Linked DNA regions of Caenorhabditis elegans. The protein of the gene in region 1 interacts with the protein of each later gene in a pairwise test. Each region holds a gene or a part of one and is shown on either strand. Other genes may lie near its edges.

What was found. Proteins that work in one complex are often made in the same cells at the same time.
Region 2: the proteins of elt-7 (region 1) and memi-2 interact in a two-hybrid assay, tested with the Caenorhabditis elegans proteins (one large-scale study listed by BioGRID).

The regions. Positions count from the first base shown.
Region 1 is NC_003283.11:4,768,516-4,774,316, reverse strand, and holds elt-7 (Transcription factor elt-7), read right to left. Parts: upstream 3,648-5,801; 5' UTR 3,604-3,647; coding exon 3,482-3,603; intron 2,604-3,481; coding exon 2,318-2,603; intron 2,265-2,317; coding exon 2,179-2,264; intron 1,534-2,178; coding exon 1,431-1,533; 3' UTR 1,231-1,430; downstream 1-1,230. Other genes in the region: C18G1.9 (FERM domain-containing protein), read left to right, coding at 4,622-4,659, 4,706-4,802, 5,354-5,472, 5,518-5,801. UniProt on the Caenorhabditis elegans protein: Transcriptional activator that binds to the consensus sequence 5'-[AT]GATA[AG]-3'.
Region 2 is NC_003282.8:13,397,887-13,402,671, forward strand, and holds memi-2 (MEiosis-to-MItosis transition associated), read right to left. Parts: upstream 2,621-4,785; 5' UTR 2,620-2,620; coding exon 2,140-2,619; intron 2,091-2,139; coding exon 1,908-2,090; intron 1,865-1,907; coding exon 1,673-1,864; intron 1,623-1,672; coding exon 1,440-1,622; 3' UTR 1,182-1,439; downstream 1-1,181. Other genes in the region: cyp-31A5 (CYtochrome P450 family), read left to right, coding at 3,420-3,512, 3,559-3,962, 4,010-4,106, 4,158-4,252.

The sequences.
Region 1 (5,801 bases):
AAAACCTGCCCAACTACAATAAAGAGAGTTCAAAGATCAGAGATCAAAGTTCAAAATACATAGGGACAGAACGACACTGCGCGAAAAATACTAGACATTTCTCGAAAAAAATTCCCATTTTAGGAAATTTTGGCATATTTGGTCAAACTTTGAATGAAAATTTTGAGAAATCGAAAACCTTTTGGTTTTTTAAAAATAACTTATCACTCGGGATACTCTATCTTTAGAACTTAAATAAATTTTTTGCAATATGCATTTGGATTTTTTTTTTCCAAAACACAAAAAGCCATATTTAAATAATTTCCTTTCATTTTGAGTGTTCTTTGTAATTTCTGCAGCCTTTCAAATTAAATTATTGTTCTCTAACAACAAAATATTTTTCTTAACCCACGTATTTCGAATCTTATTGGTACAATTCCACACAAAACCTGAGCAATAAAACATATTTCTCCTCACACAGCTTGGTGAATCTGCTGCGGTCACAAGTCACTAGTCCTTTTCCACAATTTCGTCATTCAGTGAGACTTCAATCATCATCTCCTCCCTATGGGACTCTTTTTTAGCCTTCTATTGTTGTACTCTCTGACCTCAACTTGGACATTTTTAGATATTAGGTTCTCCAGGAAGTCTTTGTAACTGAGTTTGCTTTTCCATAGCTCGCCGCAGTTGCACTTTGGTGTTCGACAACTTCGTGACAATTACGTGACAACTTCGTGACAATTACGTGACAACTTCGTGACAACTTCGTGGCAACTTCGTGACAACTTCGTGACAACTTCGAGACAACTTCGTGACAACTTCGTGACAACTTCGTGACAACATCGTGCCAACTTCGTGACAACTTCGTGACAACTTCGTGACAACTTCGTGGCAACTTCGTGACAACTTCGTGACAACTTCGTGACAACTTCGTGACAACTTCGTGACAACTTTGTGACAACTTTGTGACAACTTTGGGACAACTTCGTGACGCTGTAAAGCCAAACGTAGTGTTACCTTCTTTCGCGAGCCAAAAAAACGCGAAAGAGGGGCGGAGTCTGCACACTCGGCATTTATTAGAGGCTGCTTGGCAGAATATAGAAATTGATGGTTTCATCTGTCCCTGGTCTCATCGTTTCAATTTCTACATTAAAGCCCACTTTTGTATTAATATCCCACATATCACCAATTTCTCATCTTATCATAGAATCTTTCAACATTATTATTTGTAACAATATTTGTATAAGTAGTATCTCTAACGTTTTATTTAAGAAAAATAATAATGAAGTTGACATTACAAATGTTTGAATATGGTAATATCAGTGGAAAAGATGACATAGATATATAATCTTTTTTAAAAAACGAATACAAATCAGCGCATAGAACACGGTACAATTGATGTAGAGGGATACGTAATATGCTGGAAAAATGGCGATACAGTCCAAACTTGTCTATTCTTTTTTTGCTTGACGCCGCTTTCGAGTAGTTGGCTTCTGCTTGCAGAGGGATAACGGGCGTTTCACTTTGTTGTGACGGTAATACAAGTTGCAAGCACTGAAAATATTACTTTAATAGTGGAACTAATGATGTATATTTAACTAGTCATTAAAATTAATAAAATTTTAAATTCGAAATTCTAAAAAATAATCGAAAATTATAAGCAAGTTCAACTGAGAATTTTTGATTTGGAATGTAAATGTTCTAAATGTTCGAAAAAATTCAGGGGTAGGCGGCAAGTGCCATTCGGCAAATTTTTTTGTCAACAAATTTGGCAAATCGATAAATTGCCGGTTTGCCATTTTGCCGGAAATTTTCATTTCCGACAATTTGCCGATTTTTCGGAAATTGAATTGATGATTTTTGTTTTTAGAGGGATTTTTTATAAGACGGAAACATTTAAAACTGTGCATTTTTGAAATGTTTTCTCCGTTTTCTTTAGATATTTTCACAGAACTTGCTTACTTTTCAGAATAGATGTAGGAACATTCATAGGATGCGTACAATTTTGCCGATTAAAATTGAAATTCGGAAATTTCCAAAAAAAATGTGCAAAACCACAAATTGCCGAAAATTTTCGGCAAATTCGGAAAATCGACAAATTGCCGGTTTGCCGATTTGCCGACTTGCCAGAAAAACAATCGGTTGCCGCGCACACCTGGTAGAAATAATATAAAAGAATATAATAAAATATAAACTTACTTGCACTCAAGATTCCCTTCATCATTTTTACGCCAAAGTGTGGTTGTAGTTGTTGAGCAGTGTGAGCAGCACGCATCACGAATTACCTGAAAAATTTCATATAGAAATATTTATTTCATTCTAAACCCTCGAATCCTACTTTTGCAATTTTCTTTCCCTTCTGTGAACCAAATCGGTTTCCAGATGATTCGTAACTGCTATCTTGCTCCACAAAGGATTTTTGCTCATTTTCATTTTTCGTCAAGCTTTCATCAAAAATAATTCTGGAATCTTCAAGTGGTTGTAATGGAGTAGTACACATTGACGACTGAATTGGTTGTTCGTATGGAGATGGAATTTGATAACTCTGGAATGGATCAAAGTGATGAGTTGAAGCATCTTGCCAAGTATTGTAGTACACGGGCTGCGGTGGGTAGACATATGGACTGAAAAGTTGGAGTTTTTATTCTCTCAAGCTGAGCTGAGTTTGTAGTACATTTGTGGTGCAGGAGACTAGGCAAAAGATTTGTAAGCAGTTGGTAAAATTTGGCAGGAAAAGTTAAGCGGAAAGTTGTTAAAATTTGTCAGAAAGTTGCCAAAAGTTTTGCAAGAAGTTGCCAAAAGTTGGAAAAAAGTTGCCAAATGTTGTCAAAAAGTTGCCAGAGCTTGGCAGGACGATGCCAAAAGTTGGCAAAAAGTTGTTAAACTTTAAAAGAAAGCTATCAAAAGTTGGCAGAAAGTTGCAAAAAGTTGTCAGAAAATGTCCAAAGATTGACAGAAAGTTGCAAAAATTTTGCAAAAAGTGTTAACATTTGAAAGAAAGTTACGAAAGGTAGACAGAATTTTTTAACTGCTTTGTAGGAAATTGTTAAACTTTGAGAGAAAGTTGGAAATTACCTACAATTGCCAAACAGGAAACATGTTAAGTCATACACTTTAAGCCATTCCCAGCATGAAACTCGTTTTTCAGACTCTCAAATTATAATAATAAACCTTAAAAAATATAATAATTCTCAAAGATTCCTATTCTCAAAAACACTGAAAACTACTGATTATAAGCAGTATACTTTGGAGCATTCGATATTGATTTTTATCAGTTATGCTACATGAGTTCAATAAAACATAGTTTTGGTCACATGTTGGAACAAAGTTGTTGTTTTTGTATACATTACTACAGGAAAGTAATATTTTGGTAGTAATGTAAAAACCATATAATTCTGTTGATAGTGAATATTTCAATTTAAGTTTGCCGTAAAAATAATACAATTACATTATGCAACATTTTTATGCACTGCAATAAAACAGTTTTGATTTCAAAACTTACTTTTGATTATATTGAAATTGATTAAATAAATAATAGTCCTCCATTGGACTTCTCGCTGGCGGCTCATTCATGATAGTCGTAACAGATGGAAGTGGTTGAAGAGTAGTAGTTTCAGGGAGCATTTTTTCCAGTCGACTAGAGCAGACAACTCTAACCACAAATGTCTGTCTTTGTTACAGGCAGGAAAGTAACAAAGAGCCCGGAGAGATCCTAGAGAAAGAGACAAAAAAGGTCAGAGTGATAAGATAGACCGGCGGCGGTGGTGATGGGGAACTGTGTGTGGCTCACCACCCATCATTAGTAGTTTATGATATAATGACTATGAACCTGGACGGCAAAGTTCTTAAAGGGAAGGAGAACGAAAGTAAATATGACTTGGGACTTTTATGGATAGTCGTAAATTAGTGGTAAGTCAGAGATGCATGTACCTATGCCTTGTGTGCCAGTGGACGAGCAAAAAAAGGAAACATGGGAAAGAGGGGGGGGGGGTGCGGCAAATCTCAAAATTTGCAGAGTCCGGCAAAACCGGCAAATTTGACAAATTTGCCCTGGTCGGCGAACCCGGAAAATCTCGATATTTTAAAACTATTTTTTGGATCACAAAATTGACGAAAAAGCTTTAAAAGTGTAGCATTCTGGAAAAAAAATTTTTTTTAAAGATACTCACAAAATTTTGTGTTATTTCATTCATTTCTTTCTTCTAAACTCAAGGCAAATTTTAGAGTATTCCGAGCTTAACAAATGGCAAATTGGACAAATTTGTCGCGAATGGGAAATCTTGTTCCAAGTTGAAATGCTGTGTCCTGGAGGAAGTGTGCAATTATTTTTTTTTAAGTTGAAGTAATGTGCAAAAGGGGCATAAACTGATTGTGAGAGTGCATAGTGTTTATAATTTAATTCTTGTATTATCGGTAGCCTATTTCTAACGTGTTTTTTTTTAAAATACATATAATTTATTTAAAATGAATGCTTGAAAAATCAACATGGAATGTAGTTTTACGTAAACTGTATTTTTCTATTAAAAAAAGTGTAGATTTGGAAAAAGATAAGAATTCAGAACTGTGAGAGGCGATTTTAAATTCATTATTTTTATTCAAATTACTAGCATTCGCGGCTTCTCAACTAACCGACTAACCCCCAATGTGCGTCTCGAGACCAGGATTGAGTACAACTCGGAGGTAATATAAGGTATTAGAATTACGAGTTCTCAGTTAACCGCTACAGATCTCGACACGAAATTACTTACACCACACAAAATGAGGAATCTGCAGAAAATTGGTATAAGATGGCTAATTCGAATTTCCGATCGGCAGTGTTTGAGGTATGAATCCCGATTTTTATAATCGGAACTTTGTGCCTACAGTACCCGCATGTGTTTCAAAATTACCTCTACAGTTTATTTTTTCCACTTCTACGACTTTAAAGGAGGGCGCATTTATTCAAAATGGTCCCGCCACGCTCCACCCATTGGTCTCGCCACGCGCTTCAAAAATCAATGAATGGCGCGTGACGAGACCATTTTGAATGAATGCGCCCTCTTTTGAAGTCGTAGAAGTGGAAACAAATACACTGTACTTTTGCAATTTCGCTCAACTTTTCGCAATTAATAGCGCTAAAACTCCGGGTTTTTGAAAAAAAAAACCAAAAGTACGGGGAAATGGAGAAATATGTGCGCGGAAATACTGTACCTGGTCTCGGCACGATTGAAACCTTTCAGCTACCGTACACCACAAGTTTTCGTAATCGTCTATTTCTAGACTTTCACCAAATTCATAGCGCTAAAATGTGTTTTTAGTGAAAAATTGAGGAACATTTGCGGATACGATACCTAAAAAGACCCACTACCGTAACATAAACAAATATAATTTTCAGAACCGTGTCCACGTGTGGGCACTCCCACTGAGCTATTCTCAATCGAAATATGGTGGCCGGAAGACTCCCTCATCTGCTTGCACAATAATCACTGTCCAGATTGCTCACGATTTCTTGAGGTTTGTGAAATTTTAGTGCGATCGAAAAGTAAATCCATCTTTTAGCAAGAACGTCTGTATCCCACCCACGCATCCTTTGACACCTCAACATCTTCCACTTGGCGTCCTCGATGTTCTTATTAACGGAATTGTTGATGGCAATGAGACACACGAAAAGGCTATGGCAGCTCGACGACGAGGATTCAGTGGAAGTCTAAAAAAGAAGCATCTTGAAGAGACAGGGGAAAGTGGTTCAGTCTTCCAATTTTTGAAGAAACCACATCGAGACACGTTCACTGTGCCAGAAGCTATTCAAGTTCAGCGGCCCGAGATGCATGAGATTGACTACC
Region 2 (4,785 bases), on another chromosome or scaffold:
GAAAATTTTCAAAATTCTGGCAAATCGGCAACTTGAAAAACTCCGGCAAATTGCCGGAATTGAAAAGTTCCGTCAAATTGCCGGAAACAAAGAGTTCCGGCAAATTGGCAAACCGGCAAATTTCCGGAAAATCGGGAAATTGCCGGAATTGAAACGTTCCGGCAAATTGGGAAACCGGCAAATTTTCGGCAAATTGGCAAATTGCAGGAATTGAAAAGCTCCGGAAAATTTTCAAAATTCTGGCAAATCGGCAACTTGAAAAACTCCGGCAAATTGCCGGAATTGAAAAGTTCCGTCAAATTGCCGGAAACAAAGAGTTCCGGCAAATTGGCAAACCGGCAAATTTCCGGAAAATCGGGAAATTGCCGGAATTGAAACGTTCCGGCAAATTGGGAAACCGGCAAATTTTCGGCAAATTGGCAAATTGCAGGAATTGAAAAGCTCCGGAAAATTTTCAAAATTCTGGCAAATCGGCAACTTGAAAAACTCCGGCAAATTTCCGGCAAATCGGAAATTTGTCGGGATTGAAAAGCTCCGTCAAATTGGCAAACAGGCAATTTTTAAGCAAATCGGCAAATTGCCGGAATTTAAAAGTTCCGGGAAATTGGCAAACCGGCGAATTTCCGGATAATCGGGAAACTGCCGGAATTGAATAGTTCTGGCAAATTGGCAAAACGGCAAAATTCCGGCAAACTGCAGGAATTGAAAAGCTTTGGCAAATTGGCAAACCGGAAAAATTCCGGAAAATTGCCGGGATTGAAAAGTTCCGAAAAATTGGAAAACCGGCAAATTTCCGGCAAATTGGCAAACCGGCAAACCATTTTTAAAACTCACAAGTACGCATAAATGAGCCAATGAGCCAATTCAATCATCGTCGGCCAGCCAACACAGAGCACAGATTATATGCCGAAACGGCAAATTTTGTGAGAAATGGAAATCTTTAGCCTCGCGATGACATTTCAGAGGCAGCAGCTGTTATTTGGAGCCCCGCACGTGGTGAGAGTGAGAACTCGAACAAAATTTAGAGAGGAGGAAAAGTTGTTGGAAAACGATCAAAGGTGAGTGTGGAGAAACGGATATGAGTAACCGGAAGAAGTTGTTTTTTGGAGTAAAGTAAAAAGAAGTTGTTTTTTGGAGTAAAGTAATTTAAATTCCAAATATTATAAAGACAACTACTGAATGTAATATATAATTCATCTCATCGTTAAAAAGATTGCAAAATCAACCAGTTCATATTCTGGCAATGTTAATTCAAGCAATATACATGTTAAACATAAGCAAAATAGTTTGGGGCAGCGGAGAATCTATATACAGGAAACGACCAAAACAAAAAAGGAAAATAAAATAAAGGGGAAAGTTAGTTGATATATTCAACAAGAACCACTGATACAATAATACAGAATTATGTACATTACAAATTATAGGACATATGTCTGGAGTTACTCGTCCTCTTCATCCAGTTTGAATGTCTCGAGGAACGTGATCAGGTCCTCGACTGGCACAATTCCCTTTCCCAGCGGGATCATGTCCTTTTCGATCTCAAATTCGTGGATTTCGACTGGATCTTCGACAATCAGCACACGTCGGTTCTTGCACTTCACTGTTTGCTCCAATTCGATGTACTGAAAATTTCATAAATTGAAAATCGAGATTTTATTGCTGCTCAACTCACTCTACTTCTCCCTGAAGTATTCCTGGCGTTCGAGTTGTTATTGTACACGATCCTCGTTTCCACGTGGCGCTTTCCTCGGATAGAACACGTGATTGATGCAGTCGAGGCCATCAGTCGGCCTTGTGAATCGAGTCCTGGCTCGAGATTTCCGTATTCCCGGCAGTTTGTGGTTCGCAGGTGACGAGTGGTAGTCTGAAAAAGTTATTGGCATGAAACAGAAAACTGTTTCTCGTACTCTGCCCTGTGATCGGTTCAACGTTGCCACCACAAAGCTGTCTGTCATCTGGAATCCTTCGTTTTCCATCTCCAGTTGTTCGAGCATAGCAAACAATAGATGGAATGGCATTTCAGTCGTTGCCTGGATCGCGAATCGAACCACATTTTGACCCGTCTCTTTCGGCTCGGCCAGGAAGGAAGTCTGAGATTAAATTTAATTCTTTCAGGAAAAATATTCTCAAGAAATTAACCAGAATCAAACTGGAGATATCCTCGACCAACAGCATGCGGCACTGAGCGGCGAAATAGTGTGGTCGCTGATTGGGATGAAGGAGCACGTGCTCGACAAGCGCTTTCTCCGATTCTCTGGTCGTGTTGAACCATCTTTGCGAGAAGAAGTCGTAGCGCTTGAGACGAAGACTTTCAATCGGCATTGTTTGAATGCTTCTGAGCACTTTGACAGCTTCATCGCGGATGACTGTCTTGCTCGGCTTCTTGTCGACGAGCTTTGGAGTCTCATCGATACGATGCAGGGAACGGTAGTTCTGATCGTCGACGAGCTCCACGTCTTCTCCATGCCCTTCGATAATTACATCATGATTGATGTTGGGTTGTGGTGGGAGGGCAGAGCAACCGGCTCGAGCGGTTTCCAGGTGATCTTCTTCGTTGTAGTTGACCACGTATCTGGTCGCTGTCAATTCGCGAAGAACGGTGCGAGATGGAGCTGACATTCTGAAAAATTTTGGTGTAAAAAATTAATGGAAAAGAAGAAAACAATGTGCTCAAGTGATTTGCAGATTAAGAATAATTTACCGATAAAGCTATGAAAAAGATTCATTAAATCTCTCTGAGCATCAGCTTAATACATCAGCAAAGAAGAAGAATTCACACGATCAAAAAATTTTGTTGGGCCTAAAATAATGAAATTGTTGCGCTGATTTTTCGCGGGGAGATCATTCATAAAAATTACAATATTCATTCAAAAATAAATACTTTTGGATTTGTTTTATTCACTTTTTTTAATGAAAAATTAACAGTGATTGGAACTTTTTAATAATTAAATCAAGATTTAAATATCAGAAAACAACAAAAATTCGTTCGAGAACTTTCTCAAGCCTACCGTACTCTTTAAAGGCGGCGCCTGAAGATTTTCACATGGCTATCACCACGACGCAAGTTAAATTTGACTTTTTACTTATAATTCGTTCTTTTTATTGCGATTTTTTAATATTTTCAGCATCGAAAAAATTTAACAAACGTTTTTCTTATTTTTAAAACGCTTTTGATGCTTTGTGCTCGTCTTAAAAAAAGCTGAAACGAATAATTCTCAAAAAAATTCGTCTTTTCTGGGTTACCGTACTCTTTAAAGGCGCATAACAATTTTCACATAGGTCTCGACAAAGCGTGGGAGAAATTTGAATTTTCAATCAAAAAACGTTTGTTTTGTTGCGATTTTCAGGCTTTTCCTCGAGTTTTCAACGCTTTTTGCTCGTTTTTTTCGCTCAAATAAATTATTTCAGAAGATTCTACAATGGGGGTTATCATCCCCGCTGTACTTCTCGCTTCGGCGACGGTGATTGCTTGGCTTATCTACAAACACTTGAGAATGCGTCAAGTTTTGAAGGTTTGATTGCAAAATTCATTTAAAGATAAATTGAATAAACTTTCAGCACCTCAACCAACCACGATCATACCCAATCGTCGGTCACGGACTCATCACAAAGCCCGATCCAGAGGGATTCATGAATCAAGTGATTGGAATGGGATATTTGTATCCAGATCCACGGATGTGTCTTCTCTGGATTGGTCCATTCCCATGTCTTATGCTCTACTCTGCCGATCTTGTTGAACCTATTTTCTCTTCCACGAAACATCTGAACAAAGGGTTCGCATACGTTTTGCTTGAGCCATGGCTTGGAATCAGTATTTTGACGAGCCAAAAGGAACAATGGCGTCCAAAGCGAAAACTATTGACACCAACCTTCCATTATGATATTCTCAAGGATTTCTTGCCGATTTTTAACGAGCAATCGAAGATTTTGATTCAGAAATTGTGTTGCCTCGGTGTAGCAGAGTGAGAATTTTAATTCTTACATAACTCTTTCGAACGTTTTATTTCAGTGAAGAAGTTGATGTTCTCTCCGTCATCACCCTTTGCACTCTTGACATCATCTGCGAAACTTCCATGGGAAAAGCTATCGGTGCTCAACTCGCGGAGGTTCGGGAAATTCTTCCATCTATTTAAATTTCTAAATGTTTTTTTTTTCAGAATAACGAGTATGTATGGGCGGTGCACACAATTAATAAGCTGATTTCAAAGCGAACAAATAATCCGTTGATGTGGAATTCATTTATTTACAATTTGTACGGTATTTAGTTTTAAAATTTTAAATTTATCATTAAAGATGATGTAGTCGAATTTTTTTTTGCTTTATTAGACTCAAAATTGTCTGAAAACTTCTCAAAAAAAATTATGACGGCTCAAAAAATGACCTAAAATTAATTAAAATTTGAAATTTGACCGAATTGTCAAGCGGCTGGAAACTAATTTTTTCGGGTATATAAGTTAATTATCTCGGGGTTTCACCTTCATTTAGGTATTTTAAAGTCGATGGACGGCGAGATTAGGTAAAAAAATTTAAAAATCTCGCCGTCCATCGACTTTAAAATACCTAAATCGAGTTGTAAACCCAAGATAATTAAATTGTATACCCAAAATTAGACGGTGATTTCGTAAAAAAATTTGTTTCAAGCCGGTCAAATCTCAAATTTTATCTAACATTAGGTCATTTTTCGAGCCGTCATAACGTTTTTTTTTAGAAGTTTTCAAGAAGTTTCATCATGAAATTCGGTGTTTTCAGACAATTTCGAATCTAATAAGGAAAAAATTCGAAAAA